2 linked regions of the Rattus norvegicus genome follow. The protein of the gene in region 2 purifies or fractionates together with the protein of the main gene of each other region. This does not show direct contact. Links are inferred from orthologs where the notes say so. Each region holds a gene or a part of one and is shown on either strand. Other genes may lie near its edges.

Region 1 (3,748 bases), on a different chromosome or scaffold from region 2:
GTTTGTCTATGTATAATTTTATACACATGTCTCCAAAGACAGCATTGGATCCTTTGGGAACATGAAGATTGCCATGTGAATGCTAGGATCTGACTCCAAGTCTTCATGGCTGCCTAGAAGTTACTCTTAAATTCTAAACCATCTTTCCAGCATCTTACTTTAAAAAAAAAGTTCTCAAAATATCACAATACAATCATCAAAACAAAAACATCAATACCAGCAGGTTATTCTACCTAATGCCAAGTTGAAAAACTGTTCCAGTCATGAATTATACAGCTAAGGACATAAACCAGGACTGTACACACCCTGAGGTATCTTTATCCTTTTAATCTAGAATGGCTTTCTAGTCTTGACTTTCACGACTTGACATTTTCAGACCACAAAGCAATGCTTTGTATCAGCAATCCCTTCGTGTGGATTTGCATCTGCTCTTAGCGGTACACCATTCCTCACTGATGATTCTCGCTGTGCCCTCAACTATGCTGACAGCGGACATGCTTGTTATAAAAGTACTCATTTTCCCTTAGTGATGATTAAGAACTCATTGTTCTTACTGCTCTTTCAAAGGACCCAGGTTCGAGTCTCAACATCCACACATTAGCTTACAATTGTCTGCAATTCCAGTGGATTTTTCCCCCACTTCAGTGACTGATATCCTGCTCAAAGGAACAGTTTAGATCCCACCCTTCAAGCTTTCCTAGCCCTTCAGCCTCTCACTTCTCACTCTCTTCAGTATCTTCTGTCCCAAATGCTAGGTGACTACTGTTATTCTCACCAACAACTCCTCTACAGTTTGTGAGCAACAAAAACCGAAGCAGGGGAAAAGCATCAGGCCCCTGGAGTTAAAGACCTCGCTCCATCGACCTCACTCCATCATCGTATCTCAGCCTCATCTCTAACGATGATGTTAACTCGTGGAACTGCATTTACCTCCCTAGAGTGAATTATCACAGCCTAAGACCTTAGAAAGGCGATGAATGTACCTAGCTATGCAGTCTGACGGCCTGGGTTCAATCCTGGAAACCCACGAAAAAGCCCCATCTGGTAGTGTGAGTGTCTGCGATTTCCTACAGGAAATGGGAGGCAGAGATTCTTTGAGGCTCAGAGCCAGTCAGTCTGGTGTTGGCAGTAACGAGGGGATCCTATCTCAAAACAGGTCAGGAGTGGAGGGACAAACCCTGAAGGTTGTCCTCTGACCTCTGCCTGCAAGCCACAGCACACCTGATCCTCATTCACCAGAGAGATTTGCAAACATACTCACAGAGAAACACACAACGTAAGATTAGCTGGGCATGAGAGCTTATACCCACGATCCTATCCTGAGATATGAGAGACCCTGTCTCAAAAAGTACAAATAAAGGGGTTGGGGATTTAGCTCAGTGGTAGAGCGCTTGCCTAGGAAGCGCAAGGCCCTGGGTTCGGTCCCCAGCTCCGAAAAAAAGAACCCCCCCCCCAAAAAAATACAAATAACAAATGTTGGTTAACATAAAACATGAGCATGTGTTCACACGCCAAAACCCTAGGCAGCACCTTGCACAAACAGACACCGAGTAAGGTTAACTGAGTAGAATGTTCAGTTTTGAAATTCTGTTATTTCTTACTGTAGACTGAATACCTCAGTGAGGAATGACTATAAATAAAATGCAGAATTAGAGTGCTAATCACTGGTAATTAAATGTCAGTCATTATGGAGACTCTGATGTAACTATTGTTTTTAGTTCTAAGAGGCCACCACAATTATGCTCAAGACTCCCACCAGAAAATGGCACAAATTTTCAAAGAAAGTTGTTTGCTCAACAAGCCAAGCTCATCTCTGCCTCAGGGCTATTGTCATTCCCATTGTCCTCTGGCTATTTATATCTTAATTCATTTAACTCACCCCTCTCCTTTAATGTCACCTATTTGCCACGCTAAAAATCCCTCCACATACACCTGTCAACCCAGCCTTACACTAATCTTAGTGTGTGGTCGGGTGATTAAGATCAAATTCTGGGCCTCACACTTCTCCACCGAGTTACACCCCCAGCCTAATAAATCAAGGTTATGCCTGAGTAGTACTTAGGAATACATGGGTGTATATCTGCTACTGACAAACGTTAATAATAAAAATCGGAGCAAAAAATGACAGTAGTGTCTGGGACAAAACAGGCCTTCAATACGTTTTGCTAGTTTTGTTTGTTGGGGGTGGGAGGATGAATTAGTTACATGCTTAGTTAAGTAAAGCTAGTCCCTAATACTAGAACTGCATCTTCCCGCTACAACACAGATCCTCAAAGGAATGCTGAAATCTTTTCTGTTTTGGCTTTTTGAACCAGACCCATTGCTTAGCCTTGAACCTGCACCAATATTCCTGCCTCTATCTCCAGCGAGGAAGAATTAGGCACCAGCTATCACAGCCAGCTTGGATGCAGAATAGTTTGAAGACGGACACAGTTTGGCTGTGAAGCAGGGACCGATAGAAGGGGGAGTGGCAGGGGTCTGGGTATTTACAGCGCCACCTCTACTAAGGCACAGGATCTTAACCACGCCGGGGACCACGGAAACGCTGGAATCGACCGTGTGAGCGTGTGTTGGGGGTCGGTGTCTTTCATTCCCTTCCCCACGCCAGAATTCAATTTACGCGTTGATTAAGCGAAAGGCATAATTCGCCTCTTCCCAAACTCGGGTTTCTTTGGTTCCCCAACCCCTGAGAATACCCTTCCCGGCCAGCTCACCCGCCGCCTGATCAGCCGAGGGCCACTAGTCCGCCGCCTGAGCCCGCGCTTCCGCCGCACGCCGCGACAACGCCGGCGCCCGTCGCCAGGAAGGACCCCGAGCGCGTCGCCGGATCGCCTCGCCTCGCAGGACAGCCCTCTGCCTGAGGAGCAGCTTCGAGGAATTTTGGCTTGGAGACAGAAACTGGAAAAGCCAATTTGTTGATCCTCAAAACGAAGCGTGAACTGTTTCAGAAAAACGCACGGTCGGAGGAGTCTCGGATCTGATCAGGCGCCTTGGGACAGCCCGAAGGGAGGGCCTTCGGGCTGGTCACGTGGGCGGGCTAGTGGCGCCGTTGCTAGGCAACAACCGCTGTTGGCTGGGCGATCCTCTAAGGTGTTCGTTCTAACAGATCGAGGGGCTTTTTCAAAAGAAAGCAAAAGGTCCAAGACTGGGGCTACTGGGTGAGGGTTTGGGGACAGTAAAGGGGATTACTCTAGGGGAAGGCTTAGAACTAGCCAGGGAAGTGGGCGGGATGGAGAGAGTCTATAGTCTCTATCGCTCCTGAGGCTGAGCCTAGAGGAAACATCATGAGCTCAGAAGTTTTGGAGAGAACTAGGCTACATAGCGAGATCTCCCCCACCCCAAAATATTGCATAGAATCTGAGACACTTGAGTACAATTGTTGGCTGGCTAACACAGCCCACTTCTTGGCTTTCCACTTCCCATCGATGGGATCCGGCATGGCTGTGGATTTGCTTGCGGATCAGCTCATTTCCTGCCCTAGGGCTGGCTGATCCTGAGTGAACTACAGCATGCAGCACCCGCTCACCAGGATTCTGAGGTGGAAAGAGGTATCATAAGTAAATGTCAGAACCCAGACAGGCACACATAGATTCCTGTGAAAACAGCCCCATCGGACACATACCACCAGAAGGGGGCAGAACTTCAGTGGTAGGACTGGAGATAATGCCACCACACATTTGCCTGCAGCCCTCCCCTGGTCAGGGATTTGGGAAGGAAGGCCACTGAGCTTTTCTCCCTCTGATAGTTC
Region 2 (3,648 bases):
CAAACTCAAGGTGATCCTCTAGCGTCAGCCACTAAGTGTTGGGATTACAGGTGTGAACTACCACATGCAGCAAGATCCCCACCCTAAAGATTGCTGACGCAACTCAGGGTCACAGGGGAACTCCAAGGTGAGAAAACCTCTTGCACAGCACTGTGTCATTGCCCTTGAGTACTTGTGTTGGGGCCTGAAGACCTGCTACTGTGGGAAAGGCCCTGAACTCCATCTCCACACAAAGCGAAACAAGCGTACCGAACTGCCTTCCATCTGCTCTTCCTAACTTGATGTATAAGCTTCATTACTCATCCACGACAGCCCCCAATAAAAAGTTCACGAAGGAAAGAAAAGGCCAGGCACTGTGGTGCACACCTTTAATCCCAGCACCCAGAAGGCAACGGCAGCATATCTCTGTGAATTTGAGGCCAGCCTGGTCTAGAGTGAGTTCCAGAACTGCCAATGCTTGTTACCCAGAGACACCCTCTCAAAAAGCTAAAATAAATAAAAACTTCATTACTGCCCATTACTTCATTACTGTTCTTATTCATTACGCAAATCAAGACCCATTACCAAATATACCATAAAATACTTCTAACCTATGGGTGTCATGCACTTTCATGTAAGCCCTCATGATCCCCACGAAGTGTCTCTTCATGTATTCCAATTTTCCTGGAACACCAGGGAGATCAGTTTGCTCCTCAACACACAGCTTGGGAGAGGCCAGCTAGTAGCAGTACTCTGGGACAGACTCACAAGTACTTTTCCTGGGCCACAATGCTCTACTCCCCAGCCATAAGTAAACACTACTGGGTGGGGATGGGGGTTGAGAGCTCAGTGACAGAAACCTCGACTGTGTTCTAGTCCCAGGACAGCAAGACGGGAAGGAAAGCCTATCTAAGCCAAGCCCAGAGCTTTATCCCCACTTCTCGCCAGAGCAGACACACAAGGCCCTGGAAGCCCCAGGCAGGCGTCCTCTACCTGTAAAGTGAAGAATCTCTGTCCACTGTTTGCAGATGTAGATCTGGACATCTGTACCCCCAAGCGCCAGGTAGGTGCCACTCTGGTCAAAGATTAGTGACTTCACCTGCCAAACCCCAAAGAGAGGCAATTACACAAATGAACAGAAGACATGAAACTGGGAGCAAACAGGAGCGGCTTGCATGAACTCAGAAACTATCGCCGAGTAAGGAGAAACAATTGAGACTGAGGAGGAACACACCTCAAAGTTGTTGTCCAGCTGCAATGTCTTGAAGTTCTTCAACTTGCGTAAGTCCCAGAGCTTGACTGAGGAGTCATCAGCTGCCGTGGCCAGGTAGTACCCATTCTCAGAGAAGGCAATGCTGGTAATGGGGCCGGAGTGGCCAGGGAAGTTCGCCACATTGGTGCGTTCCTGCAGGTGGAGGTTGGGCAATAAAACAGCATTCACTGGTCAAAACAGGAAAAAAAGCAGGGCTTACCAAACTCCTATTGTGAGATGTCCTATACATCCACAGTTCCTTGATCACACTTATGCCACACAAACAGAGCTAGGTACTCCTCTCCCAAGCCCTGAGATAACTCAGGCTTGCCATCACAGCTCATAAGTTCCTTCTCCTTTGGGCCCCAGACGAGGCCTGCATGTCCTACCTTCAAGTCCCAGATCTTGATCTGGGAGTCCATGGTTCCTGTTCCAAAGATGAGGCCATCAGGGTGGAACTGTGCACAGGTAAGAGCTGAGGAAAGGGAAGAGGTCTGTAGTCAGGAGTTTGCAGGGAGAGTGAGAGCGCTTCATTCCTCACTGTACCAGCACAAGAGTGGCACTACATTACTGCCAGTGGTAAACACTGTCTTTAGAACACATAAGCAAATGACTGAATGAAACACACCAACAAATTGCAAACAAAAGAGCTCAATGCCTCTAGGCCACTTACAGCAGCCGGAAGTCTCATCTGTCACCTTGGTGAGCACACGCCCTGTCTGAATGTCAGAGAACGCCCAGTACTGAAAATGAGATGAAAGAAAAAAAAAAAAAAAAAAAAAAGCCAATGAGAAAGTGGGTCTTGTGGTCTTCAAGACAGATCCCCCTTGCAGAGTTAGTTCCCATAGAGAAGAAACATTTCCCAAACTCTGGGAACCTTGCTGCCCCCTCCTCCCGGGATGAGAAAGCAGCTTCCTCAAGGCCCCCTGACTGTGACTGCACCTGATCATCAGAGGAGCTCAGTAGATAGTCTCCAGTGGCATGGAGGCTGAGTCCTGTCACCGCACTCTCATGGGCCCGAACAACCTGTACACAAGAAGTGTTCGGGACGGACCAAATCCTGATAGTAGCATCAGGGGACGCAGAAAACACCAATTCCTGAAAGGAAAGAGAGCAAGAATCAGAGTCCAAGAAGTGAGATGCATTTTAACACTTTTCCAGAGTGATGAGGACAGTCACAACTGCCAGCAACTACTTCTAGCCCAGTCCTGCCTGTAACCTTCTATCTAAACAACAAAGTCTGGGGCTGGAGAGATGACTCAGCGATTAAGAGCGCTGACTGCCCTTCCAGAGGTCCTGAGTTCAATTCCCAGCAACCATGTGGTGGCTCACAACCATTTGTAATGGGATCTGGTGCCCTCTTCTGGTGTGTCTGAAGACCAAAGTGTCATATACATAAAATAAATCTTAAAAAAACAAAAAGCAAAACAGAGCCTAAGAAAGCCAAGGAAAAAAGTGCTGCTGAAGTGCCAGGCCAGGCGAGAGCTTCACTACTTAGTAGGACAAGCAGCAACTGCATCAGAGAGCACTTGGGGCCCATTTTCAGGCTGGGTAAAATATGGCTCGTATAACTGAGACTGAAGTCGTGTGCTGCCTGCAGCTAAAGATGGCTGTAATAGACGATGGGAGCAGCACTGAGCCTAAAGGAAAGCCATGGGCCCTGTTCCTTCCACTTAGACCTCAAGAGCAAGTTGATTATCCAAAAGACTTGGGGCAGAAAGAACTTATTTAGTTTCCTTAACAAATTATTCCAACTAGTTAGGATAGCAACAGCTAAAAGATAAAAGCAACTATTCTTTCATTAACACATAAAAGCCAATAGTGGCACTAATATCAAATAAATAAGAAAATAGCGCTGCAAATTATACCTAATTTTTTCAGTTTGTCACAGTTGTGGTGGTTTGAATTAAAAACGGCCCCCATAGGCTCATGCTTAGTCCCCCAAAGTGGCACTATTTGAAAGGATTAGAAGGATGCTGCTATCAGAGGAAGTACGGGTGTGGGGTGTGGGGTGTGGTGGGGTCAAAGGCCCACACCAACCCCAGTGCTTTGCATGCATGCTGCACACATATCTGTCTGTCTCCTTTCGGATCAGGATACAGCTCTCAGCTACTGCTCCAGTACCATGCTTGCCACCTGCTCCCTGCCATGATCATGGACTGACCCTCTAAAACTGTAAGCAAGCACCAGTTAAATGCTTTCTTTTATAGGAGTTGCCACGATCATGGTGCCTCTTTACAGCAAGAGAACACTGACAAACATAAATTCCTCTATTTCTCAGTTTCCTTTTTTTTAAATATTATATATGAGTACACTATAGCTGTCTTCAGACACACCAGAAGAGGGCATCAGGGCTGGAGAGGTGGCTCAGAGGTTAAGAGCACTGTCTGCTCTTCCAGAGGTCCTGAGTTCAATTC

The links. Proteins that work in one complex are often made in the same cells at the same time.
Region 1: the proteins of Prpf19 (region 2) and Eftud2 purify together in Homo sapiens (affinity purification with mass spectrometry; 3 studies listed by BioGRID and IntAct, with this or other methods). This does not show direct contact. The link is inferred for Rattus norvegicus from reciprocal best matches to the Homo sapiens genes PRPF19 and EFTUD2.

Annotation. Positions count from the first base shown.
Region 1 is NC_086028.1:88,343,391-88,347,138, forward strand, and holds the start of Eftud2 (116 kDa U5 small nuclear ribonucleoprotein component), read right to left. Parts: upstream 2,768-3,748; 5' UTR 2,715-2,767; intron 1,063-2,714; exon of another isoform or gene 984-1,062; intron 1-983. UniProt on the Homo sapiens protein: Required for pre-mRNA splicing as component of the spliceosome, including pre-catalytic, catalytic and post-catalytic spliceosomal complexes. Component of the U5 snRNP and the U4/U6-U5 tri-snRNP complex, a building block of the spliceosome.
Region 2 is NC_086019.1:216,972,890-216,976,537, reverse strand, and holds part of Prpf19 (pre-mRNA-processing factor 19), read right to left. Parts: intron 2,330-3,648; coding exon 2,174-2,329; intron 1,975-2,173; coding exon 1,905-1,974; intron 1,707-1,904; coding exon 1,621-1,706; intron 1,385-1,620; coding exon 1,214-1,384; intron 1,079-1,213; coding exon 973-1,078; intron 1-972. UniProt on the Homo sapiens protein: Ubiquitin-protein ligase which is a core component of several complexes mainly involved pre-mRNA splicing and DNA repair. Required for pre-mRNA splicing as component of the spliceosome.